Oryctolagus cuniculus: one gene and its partners. The protein of the gene in region 1 binds, or shares a complex with, the protein of each later gene. Links are inferred from orthologs where the notes say so. Each region holds a gene or a part of one and is shown in the gene's direction. Other genes may lie near its edges.

Evidence for each region.
Region 2: the proteins of INHBA (region 1) and ACVR2A are in contact, whole or in part, in a crystal structure (PDB 7U5P), measured with the Homo sapiens proteins. The link is inferred for Oryctolagus cuniculus from reciprocal best matches to the Homo sapiens genes INHBA and ACVR2A. Residues at the interface, in NP_002183.1 of Homo sapiens: Ile340, Ala341, Pro342, His346, Arg397, Pro398, Met399, Ser400, Met401, Leu402, Tyr404, Asn409, Ile410, Ile411, Lys412, Asp414, Glu421; in NP_001265508.1 of Homo sapiens: Asn36, Asp53, Lys56, Phe61, Thr63, Lys65, Val74, Lys75, Cys78, Trp79, Leu80, Asp81, Asp82, Ile83, Asn84, Val100, Phe102.
Region 3: the proteins of INHBA (region 1) and FST are in contact, whole or in part, in a crystal structure (PDB 2P6A), measured with the Homo sapiens proteins. The link is inferred for Oryctolagus cuniculus from reciprocal best matches to the Homo sapiens genes INHBA and FST. Residues at the interface, in NP_002183.1 of Homo sapiens: Asp315, Phe327, Asp337, Trp338, Ile340, Ala341, Gly344, Tyr345, His346, Gly360, Thr361, Gly363, Phe368, Thr371, Arg397, Ser400, Leu402, Tyr404, Asp405, Asp406, Gly407, Gln408, Asn409, Ile410, Ile411, Lys412; in NP_037541.1 of Homo sapiens: Trp33, Arg35, Val44, Leu45, Arg60, Phe76, Met79, Asp135, Glu152, Pro154, Glu155, Val180, Val181, Asp182, Gln183, Tyr188, Val190, Arg221, Thr224, Cys225, Arg229, Ser230, Ile231, Gly232, Leu233, Glu328.

The regions. Positions count from the first base shown.
Region 1 is NC_091447.1:31,701,679-31,705,270, reverse strand, and holds part of INHBA (inhibin beta A chain), read left to right. Parts: intron 1-2,090; 5' UTR 2,091-2,260; coding exon 2,261-2,648; intron 2,649-3,592. UniProt on the Homo sapiens protein: Inhibins/activins are involved in regulating a number of diverse functions such as hypothalamic and pituitary hormone secretion, gonadal hormone secretion, germ cell development and maturation, erythroid differentiation, insulin secretion, nerve cell survival, embryonic axial development or bone growth, depending on their subunit composition.
Region 2 is NC_091434.1:94,321,513-94,325,104, reverse strand, and holds part of ACVR2A (activin receptor type-2A), read left to right. Parts: intron 1-1,692; coding exon 1,693-1,900; intron 1,901-3,592. UniProt on the Homo sapiens protein: On ligand binding, forms a receptor complex consisting of two type II and two type I transmembrane serine/threonine kinases.
Region 3 is NC_091445.1:74,276,608-74,280,946, forward strand, and holds the start of FST (follistatin), read left to right. Parts: upstream 1-1,509; 5' UTR 1,510-1,898; coding exon 1,899-1,983; intron 1,984-3,765; coding exon 3,766-3,957; intron 3,958-4,339. UniProt on the Homo sapiens protein: Multifunctional regulatory protein whose primary function is to antagonize members of the transforming growth factor beta (TGF-beta) superfamily including activin, myostatin, GDF11 or bone morphogenetic proteins (BMPs).

The DNA.
Region 1 (3,592 bases):
AAAACTTAATGGCACTGCAAAATGCTTTGGGTACCGTGTCTGTGACTACACATAGGTGGGTGATGTTAAGTATTATAGTACAGCGAGATTTATGAAACCATTTTAACAACTGCCCCTACTCTCCTGTCCCCTCTCACCACCCCCCACTGGGAAGAAAAGGTGGCTTTTCAGGCAATGTGGACAAAGTTTTAACAATAAGAGCAAAGTAATGGATGTTTCTGGAGCCCCAACCCCAAAGGTGTTGAATGGCTTGCCACAGAGACTCCTTTTGGAAAAGGGGGCAGTGTGGACAATTCAGAAGAGCGTTGCTACCTCTGCAAGCTGTGATTTTAACTCAGTGACAGCTTTTTCTCCCTCTTTACACTCAGATCTTAGACTTGTAGTGAAGGTGCTCATTAACTCTTTCTGCTCCAAACCGCCTGGCTTAACTAGAATGCTGCGAACACACGGGGTGTCAGATAAAAGCTGACAGTACCCCCAGAAACCACGAGGGCTTCTGTGTGGCAAAGCAGCAGAAAGGGAAGGGAAGCTTTAACAGATGGACCCCTTAAAGATACTTCTGCGAGATAAAAGCAATAAGACGGAAAATGAAAAAGGGGAGGGGGAGGAGGGAAGGAGACTTTTTTAAAAAAGCCTCGGAAAGGCATTGTTTAAGAAGTCACATTTTTCCTTTGCTGTGAACACTAAAATCCACGATGATTTCATCTGTGCTGTTCCTCTGAGGGAAAGAGCAGCCCTGGAGGAGGCTGTCCGTGCACGCGCTGGTCGGGACGGGCTGGGGGCAAGCTGAGCAAACGACCACGTGACAGAGAAAAACAATTTGCCAATATATTTCGGGGATTCTGTTCCCCTCGGGCCAGTTAGTCAAGTCAGAGGAGTGCGCTCCCTTTGTAAGAGAATGTGGGAAAGGCCAAAGGCATCTCGCGTTTTCCCGGTGCAGTCGGGACGCAGCGGTAGCTGCAGGCGCGCGCCCGAGTGCGTGCAGGGCACCGGCGGGCGGCGGAAGCGGGGCGCGGGGGAGCCCCTCAGGTGGCCCCGGCGGGCGCGCCGCGCGGAGCCCTCCCGCACAGCGCCGCCGGCGACGCACGGCCGCTCCTCCGGCCCGAAACGCAAGTTCCGCGGGCAGAGCCTCGGGTCGCCCGCCCGCGGGGCCGACCCCGAGCACTTCCGCAGGAATGAATGGGAGCGGGGAAGGTCTCCCCCGCACTGCCCGGGGCCCCGCCGTCCAGGGCCGCGGGCGCTCCTTCGCCCCGGGCCCCTGTCCCCGCGACCTCCGCCACCTGTCAGCCGGACCTCCTGGCTGCCTCAGCCCCACCTGACCGCCAGGTGGGCGTGTGGTCGCCCAGGGCTGCGGCGAGGTCGGGGTGGGGGGAGGGCGCCCGGGGGCGTGGGGGGGGCGCTACTTGAATGGAGCCCTCCCAGGGGATGGACACCGTGCGTTTTTTTTTTTTTTTCTTCCTCCCTCCAAAAAAGGAAGAAGGCGAGGCCAGGGCATTGGGGCAGACAAAGAGAGAAAAACCAAAAGTGAACAAAATTAGGGGGATTTGTTTCAGAAGGGAAAGTAGGAGCCCGAGGAGGGTGCTGTTTGCAGAGAGGTGTGTGAGAGAGCTGGGAGCAGAAGCGAAGCAGCCTGCCAGGGAAGGCAGCCCCTCCCTCCCTAATCACAGCCTCTACTCACGGGCTCCCTCCCTCTCCCATTCACTCACTCACTTAGGGCCAATCCGTTCTCTCTCTCTCTCTCCCTCTCTCTCACTCTCCCTCTCTCTGCCTCCCTCCCTCCCTCTCTCCCTCCCTCACTCTCTCTGTCTCCCTCTCCCTTCCCCCTTCTCTCCCTCTCTCTTCTCACCCCCTCTCTCCTCTCTCCCTGTCTCTCTCTCCCTCCCATCCTCTCTCTGTCTCTGTCTCCCCCCCCACCCCGTGTCTCCCTCCCTCTCTCTCTCCCTCCCTCCCTCCCTCCCTCTTTCCTTCTCTCTTACTCGGAGACACTCAGAACTCTCCTCCCTGACAGCCACAAACCTACGGCACTGACTGCATTCAGAGAGGGAACCTGCAAACAAAACTTCACAGAAAACTTTTTGTTCTTGTTCCAGAAAATTTGCTGAAGAGGAGAAAGAGAAAAAAAAAAAAAGGAAAAAAAAAAAAGCACACCACCACCACTACCAAAAAAAAAAAAAAAAAAAAAAAAAAAAAACCTGTGCGAGAGGGGGGAGGAAACGCAGGGCCTTTAAAAAAGGCAATCACAACAACTTTGGCTGCCAGGATGCCCTTGCTCTGGCTCCGAGGATTCCTGTTGGCAAGTTGCTGGATTATAGGGAGGAGTTCCCCCACGCCAGGAGCCGAGGGGCACAGCGCGGCCCCCGACTGCCCGTCCTGCGCGCTGGCCGCCCTGCCCAAGGATGGACCCAACTCGCAGCCAGAGATGGTGGAGGCGGTCAAGAAGCACATCCTAAACATGCTGCACTTGAAGAAGAGGCCCGAGGTCACGCAGCCGGTGCCCAAGGCGGCGCTTCTGAACGCCATCCGAAAGCTTCACGTCGGCAAGGTGGGGGAGAACGGCTTCGTGGAGATCGAAGACGACATCGGGAGGAGGGCAGAACTGAATGAGCTGATGGAGCAGACCTCGGAGATCATTACGTTCGCCGAGTCAGGTGGGTGCTGGCATCGCGGGGCGCGCGGGCTCCGGCTCCCACCGTCCCGGGAGGAACTTGGCGCCCTCCGGCTGCGAGCGGCTCCCGGTGTTCAGGCGCCGGCAGCGGCCGGAGGGGAGGCCGGGGACCCGGGCCGGAGGACTTCTCAGAGGGGCGGCTCCGGGCTGCGCGGCTGGCGCTCGCGCAACTCCGCCGGGCACGCGGGGCGGACGCTCTTGGGCCGGTCTGTCGCTGGAGGCCGCTCTGAGAGGGGCGCGGGTCCCGCTGGCCCGACGAGAGCCCGGGGCGGGTTTGGGGGCTCGCGGAGCAAGGAGGCTTCCGGACCCCAGCCGAAGTTCGTGATGGGGGAGGGGGTGAGCGTGCCCCGGCACGGATGAAGTCATTGTCTTAAGCAAACCCTTTCTCCTTTAAAAGTCCCATCTGGGTCCACATCAGAGAGGCAGGGCGTGTTCGTCAGTGACAGTCACTTTTTATGTTTAGAAACTCCCTCTGTAAGCGCACGGGCAGCAGAAACCCAGTTCTGGGGGGCAGTGGACTCTGAACCGGCGGTCAATTTTGGAGTACTGACTTTTGCTCTCTGAACTCCCAAAATAAATAAAATAAAAAGAACCACCACCACCACCCCCCAACACACACACCAAAAAAAAAAAAAAAAGTTTGTTCTCTCTGAAGTTACCAGGAGCTCTCTTGCCAAGGAATGCAACCTTGACAAAAGTGCTCTTAGCTACTACATTGAACTCTCACTCAGTCCTGAAGAGGAAGAACTTCAGTAACTAGATTCTAATCATTGGCCCGGGACCACACCAACCTGTTGCTGAATGGAAAATACCTGTGAGAAGTATGGGCCATGAACTTGGAGCCAGGCTCAGGTTCTTTTTACAGTTGTGGGATGCACATCCCTCTGCATGCCTACAAGCCCACGCCTGCCGGGCACACATGCTGGG
Region 2 (3,592 bases), on another chromosome or scaffold:
GCTCACTTCTGGGAACTCAACTGCTAGATAACCAATTCTTAATAGCTGTGATTTGTTGAGTATACAGTGTGGTTATGTAAAAGCTGCTTCTTGAAGCAGCCATTGTACTCCACTCTGCAGGAGAATCATGTTTGCTTACTTCCTTTTTTGTCATACAGAATATTGAAAACTCTACTCAAGGGTTGAGACTTAATAAAATTAACAAATTGTGCTTTTCATCAAGGACATTCTTTTTTTTTTTAACTTTTATTTAATGAATATAAATTTCCAAAGTACAGCCCATGGATTACAATGGCTTCCCCCACATAACGTCCCTCCCACCCGCAACCCTCCCCCCCCACTCCCTCTCCCCTTCCATTCACATCAAGACTCACTTTCGACTCTCTTTATATACAGAAGATCAGCCTAGCATACATTAAGTAAAGATTTCAGCAGTTTGCTCCTACACAGAAACATAAAGTGAAAAATACTGTTTGAGTACTAGTTATAGCATTAAATCTCAATGTACAACACACTAAGGACAGAGATCCTACATGAGGAGTAAGTGCACAGTGACTCCTGTTGTTGACTTAACAAATTGACACTCTTGTTTATGGCCTCAGTAATCACCCTAGGCTCTTGTCATGAGCTGCCAAGGCTATGGAAGCCCCCTGAGTTCACTGACTCTGATCATATTTAGACAAGGCCATCGCCAAAGTGGAGGTTCTCTCCTCCCTTCAGAGAAAGGTACCTCCTTCTTTGATGACCCGTTCTTTCCACTGGGATCTCACTCGCGGAGATCTTTCATTTAGGTCCTCCCCCCCACCCCCCCCGAGTGTCTTGGCTTTCCATGCCTGAAATACTCTCATGGGCTTTTCAGCCGGATCCACATGCCTTAAGGGCTGATTCTGAGGCCAGAGTGCTGTTTAGGACATCTGCCATCTCATGTTGGATCATTCTCTCCCTTTTTTATTCTCTCAGCTAGTATTTGCAGACACTATTCTTGTTTATGTGATCCCTTTGGTTCTTAGTCCTATCATTATGATCAATTGTGAACAGAAATTGATCACTGGGACTAGTGAGATGGCATTGGTACATGCTACCTTGATGGGATTGAATTGGAATCCCCTGGTATGTTTCTAACTCTACCATTTGAGGTAAGTCAGCCAAGGACATTCTTAAGTGAAACTGGCATTGTCCAGAGAAATCTTTGGAAATATTTGGTCACTTCCCATTATTATTTTCATACTTAATATAAAGAGATTAACCTGAAGACCTAAACCCAAAATTGTAACACTGGGAAGATGAGATTTTTAGGAACATCTGAAGTTGCTATGTTGGAAGACAAACTCTTATTTAAGAGCTAATATATGGGGCCAGTGCTGTGGCATAGTGGATAAAGCCGCCACCTGCAGTTCTGGCATCACATATGGGCACCGGTTCAAGACCCAGCTGCTCCACTTCCCATCCAGCTCTCTGCTATGGCCTGGGAAGGCAGTACAAGATGGCCGAGTACTTGGGCCCCTGCACCCATGTAGGAGACCTGGAGGAAGCTCCTGGCTTCTGCTCAGTGTAGCTCTGGCCATTGCGGCTATTTGGGGAGGGAACCAGCAGATGGAAGACTTCTCTCTCTAACTCTTGCTTTCAAATAAATAAATAAATCTTAAAAAAAAAAAAAGAGCTAACATAATACATTGTTTTATTGTCTTATAGGTGCTATACTTGGTAGATCAGAAACTCAGGAGTGTCTTTTCTTTAACGCTAATTGGGAAAGAGACAGAACTAATCAAACTGGTGTTGAACCCTGTTATGGTGACAAAGATAAACGGCGGCATTGTTTTGCTACTTGGAAGAATATTTCTGGTTCCATCGAAATAGTGAAACAAGGTTGTTGGCTGGATGATATCAACTGCTATGATAGGTAAGGATGCATTTTATTTGTTAAGATAGTCTTAAGTAATTCTCATCACTGTCCCCTTTTTAAAGGAGAAAAAAAGATTATGAAGAGTTATGATATATTCTGTTGATAAAATATATTTAAAGAAGTAAGATAAACATGGTATACTTATATTTATCTTTGATATTTTTGAATAATCTAAGAAATGAGAATTTTTAGAAAAGAATCACTTTCCCTACATTGTTAGGTCTTTACTTTTTAATGGCAATTTTAAGGAAGAAAGGACTTTTAAAACCACTTTAAAAGAGAGTGTATCTGTTGGAAAATCTATCCTCTTGGAGAATAAAACCTAATTGTAGTATTTAATTTTAAGTTTCCTTCATTATGTATCTGGAAGAAATTGATTTTGTTACACCATGCCCCCTTTTTTTTCTTGTGGAGGAGGCCTTTGTTCTTTACCCCAAGAGACATTTTAACTTGACATTCAGAATTACATCAGAACACAGAGTCCCTATAGAAAGCTACATTTTATTTAATGTACATTGTTTGAGTTGTTTTATTCTGTACTGGAAATAAAATACAGTGGTCATGTTATTGACTGCCTATGTTCTCTCTGTAAAGAGTCCCATAGATGTTGGGCTGATCGCTTCAACTGTTTGGGCCACAAGATTTCCACTGCGGTGGGTGCTGAAGACTGACATTTGCACCCAGAAAGTGTTGCTGTATACACTGGATTGTAGATACTGTGGGTCTACTTTTAGGAGCCTGAATTGTTATCTTTAAATTGTGATTGGTTAGCTGTAACGGATAGAAAAATGCATTTACTGAGCCCATAAAAAATAGTTCTACTTTTGTTGAGAGATTAAAACAGTCATTTAGATATATATTTAGTTTTTAGGATATACTTTTAAGTCTGTGAGTTTCCCAGGGATTATTCCTCTATAATTATGTTTTAGCTGCATTTCTGATTAACCCCTCTACTAACAGAAATGGTCATCGGGTGATATGTGGTATCCTGAAAGGTAAATAGAAGAAATTCAGAGGGGAAGGGAGATGAAATTTGAGAGTCATGTTTGTCCAAAACTGTCTTCATGAGTTGAAATCAAGAATTCTTACCTTTTGTGGTGAAAAATTACTAAAAACAGTATTTCATTTATGTGAACTGCAGGCAGTGGTGAAAAGGGTACTGAGCCATTTTCCACTGGAGATCTGGATCGGGGAGTGCATTATTCAGTGCAAATGTTTGCTGTTGGAATGATAATTACTTCAACAGCTTTGTTTTGGGGGATTGAAGGCTGATTTAAAAATAAGTGAAATTTTGGTTTTATGCTCTGGTTTTGATTGAACAGTAATACAGATAGTAAGAGCAAGAAAAGTCAAAGAATGTCAATGTATGAAAGAAAAGGTAGTAATAAAAGATGAAATTGGATAGTGAAAGGTAATTCTTTTCAATTAGTTATTTAACTGTTCATCTACAATTTGAGGTGTGATTCTAAATATTTTTAAATTTATGCATTTATATTTATAAATTAATATTTAGCTTTGATTTGTTTTATCTTTTGGCAACTAGGTTTTTGTATACTCATAGGTTATATTTTAAAATTTCATTTGCTACAACTACTGTCTCCCTCATGTTTCTTGAGCTTTTCACTTAGGAGTTGAGTTCAAACTTATTCTAATAATCATCACAAAAGTTCACTTTATTGGTAAGATTGG
Region 3 (4,339 bases), on another chromosome or scaffold:
GGCGGCCGCGGGGCTTTGTGATTCATGCGCCCACTTTCAAAGGGGGGCTCGGGCCCGTCTGAGAGGCACCCAAACAACTGTCTTCTAATATTAGCACGGCTGTACTTCGGGATCTATTATAGTCTGTCCAGACAGATCCCATTGTAATGGGATCTTTTATTAAAAGATTAGCACTATCTCCTGCAGTTGGTGGAAAAAAATCTGTTATCACTGAGTTATTTGCAGTTGTGGAGGGGGTGGGAGGGGGGTGACGGAAGATGGGGGTGGGAGGGCCTGGGGAGGACTGGGGGAGGGGGGCGAAGGAGGGGCGGGTTTGAAATCCGTAGAACAAATCCCAGTGACCTGCGAATGTCCAAGAATTTTGTCTGCATACTTCGCTGTCTGTTGTCCTACGGGCTGGAGAAGCGAAATGAATAGCAATTTAAAAGGCAGCTTTGGAATAAACAATATAGCCTTTTCCGTGAAGTAATCGCTTTATATAAAAGGAAATATCGCCTCCTCAGTTTCATTCAGCGGTGCCAAAAATGTTATAAATGAGAGACCCGCCAACTTCCAGTGAAGAATGCCAGGCACTGTACTTAATAAACTGAGGCTACAGAAGTTCATTATCGATGTTGCAATCTTTTTTTATTCGCGGGGGGGGGGGGAGGGAGAGAGAGAGGAGAGAGAGAGAGAGAGAAGAGAGAGAGAGAGAGAGAGAGAGAGAGAGAGAGAGAGAATCGAGTCTGGAGCCGAGCTGGAGACGAGAGAGACAGAGACGCACAGGACAGAAACTAGGGGAGTCGCCGAGCGGGGAGGAGGGGGCAGACCGCCTACGTCGGCGCCCCCGCTCGGGGCTCCGACTCCAGACGCCCGGGAAGTGAAAGGGGAGAGAGAAGAAAAGGGACAGGGCGAGACTGCACCGGGGGGGAGGCCGTGTCTGAGGTGTTAAACATTTTTGTTTGCTACTCGTGGAGACCCGGGGCTTGCGTCTCCGCGCTGCTCCGCCAGGGTGGAAGGTGCCGGGGCCGGGGTTCCCAGCGACCCCTCAGGGCCGAGAGCCGCCGCCGCCGCCAAGTCCAGCACGCACAGACCCAGACACAAAACCTCCCGCCGGGTCCCCCGCGCCCAGGCTGTACGGGAGGCTGGCAGGGTCCGACCCCACCCTGAGCGAGCGAGGGCTCTCCAGCAGCCCGCGGCTCTCCCGGCGTCTGCAAAGTCTTTTGCCAGAGCCGAGGAGCGGAGAAGCAGCGGCGCGGAGACCAAGTGCCGGCTTCCCCGCTCGGCCCGCCGCCCGCTCCAGCGCCCCGCGGCGCACACCCGCACACACACACACACACACACACGCACGCACGCACACACGCCACCCCGGGCGCGGCGCGCTGCCCGCAAGCGGCGGCGTGCAGGACATGAAGTGGGTGTTCTTCCCCGCTCCCCACCCCCGAGCGTCGCCCCCACCCCCCGCCCCGGCCGCCTGCCCCCTCCCTCCCGCTCCTACGCAAATAAGAACTCGGCGATTCCCCTCCTGCCGCTTTGATTTCGGGCACCTCCGACAGATAACTGGGAAGGGTTTCCAGAAGGTGGGAAATGTCACCTGATTCACAGTGAACTTTTAAAAGCTCCCCACCCCCAAGGAGCCGCGCACACCCTCGCTCGAGGCCGCCCTCCCACAGCCCCACACACTGGGAGACCGCCCACCGCAAACCGCGGAGACCCCCGTCTAGATTTAAAGCGCGGCTGCGCCCGGCTTCTGACGTCCATTGAATCGCGCGGGCGGCCGGCTGTGAGCGCGGGGCTGCGCCCGGATCTCTGCGCCCTCCGCCGCTCGCCTCCGAGACGCGCGCCGCTCGCACCAGCCGCCCCGCCGCCGCGCCCGCTCCCCGCGCCGCCGCGCTCCTCGCCCCGCGCCTGCCCCCAGGATGGTCCGCGCCAGGCACCAGCCCGGCGGGCTTTGCCTCTTGCTGCTGCTGCTCTGCCAGTTCATGGAGGACCGCAGCGCCCAGGGTAAGCGAGGGGAGGGGGGGATGCGCTGGGCAGGCTGGGCTGAGGGCAGGGGGCTCTACTTTTCTGTGGTCTGTTCGCCCCAACGCTGCTCTTGGAAGATGTTGGACCAAGTTAGCGACTCCGCGATGGAGAGCAGTGGGGAAACACCAAGGCAGTGACACTTTGGGACCGGCAGCGGAGTTGGGAGCTCGGCTCTCCTTTAAAAGGAAAAGGAGCAGGCTGGAGTCTGCCTCAGTATTAGGGTTAGATGCTCCGAGTTCTGGCCGGGATGACTTGAGATGGTATCTCCGGGGTTGGGGACCAGCATCAGTAGTAGCCTGCGGATTTCGGCCGCCCGGTTTGCAGTCTAACCTCTGTGCCTCCCACGTCTTTTGGAGACTTTTTACAATGACCTGGGGCTGCGGAGACACTGAATTTTCTCCGGTGGCTTGGGGGACGTGGTTTCAGAAAGTTTGCCCAAACTTGGAAATGTGGGTGCTGAAAATTTTCGAGGGAAGTAGCTTTCTGCCTAATGGATGCTTCTTCCAAACCCCCTCCCCCAACCCCGCAAAAAAAAAAAAAAAAGTCAAATTATTACCCGGGAGTGTTGTGAGTTACTTTACAGTTTTTTTTTTTCCCTCTTCTTTGCTTCATTCCTCGGACTGTTAACTTTTTGTAAAACAGCGAGCAGCCCACAACTGATTTAAATGCTAAGCTGTATCAAGAGTAAATCTCTTAAGTTTGTCTTGTAAAAATAGCTGTTTCTTTCCATTAGTCTTGGGCAGAATTTTTAAAATAATACTAGCAGCCTGTGGTCCAGTTATTGTTAAAGTCTTACTTCCTGAACCAAATCTGGGTGTTAAAAGAGGGGAAGGGGGAGAGATTCCTTGCACAGGTTTCTTCGTGCTAGGTGGGAGCTAGGTGTACGGAGCCGGGACCCGGCAGGACGCTCGCCCCGGGCCGAGGTGCCCTGCCCGCGTGAGCGTGAACGTTTCCAGGGTGTGAGCGACCCCGCCGTCTGCACCGCCCTGCGCCCGGCTGCCCGCGTCCAGGGACGTGGGCGCCAGGGAAAGCAGCCCTCGGAGATTTCGAAAGCTCCCGGTGGCCGCGGGCGTGCTCAGGGGCGGCGGATTGCAAAACGGGCCCGTCGGGCGGGCTGCGCCTCGAGGCCGCGCGGGGCAGCTCCGGATTGCTTTTTTGCTTTCATTTTTCGCAAGTGCCTTTTTGCTTGATCTGTTCCTGCGCGTGCGTGCGTGTGTGTGTGTGTGTGTGTGTGTCTCCTTCTCCTCTCTCTCCCTCTCCTCTCCCGTTCTCTCACTTTCTTAACCCCTGTCACAAATAATTCCCGTGCCGCCTACATGAAACCAACATGTAAAAACATCCGTCGCATCCTGTTTTTGTCAGGTTCTTTAATCTGCCCTTCGAGTCGCTGCAGGTTATGAAATGGGACGAATAAAAGTAAACAGTCTAGTAAAAGTCAATGCAAGCTGCACGTGTTGTGTCTGGGTCACTGGTTAACTGACATTGATATGGCTGGGGCGCTCTGGCTTCTGCCTCGCCCTGCCTCCCCTCGTCTGCCCCCCACCTCTGGGATCAGGGCTTCCCCCCCTCCTTCCCAACCCCTCCACCCCCTCCTATTTATTTGCCGCGCGTCTCCCCCGCCGCGCGCCCTGCCCTCCCTGCACCACGCTCACCCCCTCCCCACGCCCGCCGTGTCGTCTGTGCTCGCTCGCCCGCCGCCTCCCTCTCCTCGTCCCCCGCCGCTCGCCGGCGCATCCACCTCCCACCCCCGACTCTTCACAGCTGGGAACTGCTGGCTCCGCCAAGCCAAGAACGGCCGCTGCCAGGTCCTGTACAAGACCGAGCTGAGCAAGGAGGAGTGCTGCAGCACGGGCCGCCTGAGCACCTCGTGGACCGAGGAGGACGTGAACGACAACACGCTCTTCAAGTGGATGATCTTCAACGGGGGCGCCCCCAACTGCATCCCCTGTAAAGGTGGGACTCTTCCTCCCCAACCTCAGGCCCTCAGCAGAGGGCGTCTTACCCTGGGCTTCCCCACTACCTACCTGGGGGGGGGGGGGGGGACTGGAACCAAGAGAGCTGTGTGGGTGGGCTCCTCCTTCCTACGCCCAGCTCTGAGACGCCATTGGGAGCCATTCCTGCCTGTCACAACTCTTCGCAAAACAGAGTCCGCGGAGGTCCCCGGACTTCTGAGCCACGTGTGGAGACAGATTTGGGTATGGGGCCCTGCCCCCCTCCAACCCACTAAAAGAGGGCCTGGGGGCTCCTGAGAACAAACTCAGAGCTACAGGATTGCACAAGGCACCAGCACGACCTCCGGGCTGACCTACGGACCGCCCGGCCCTGGTTGTAATCC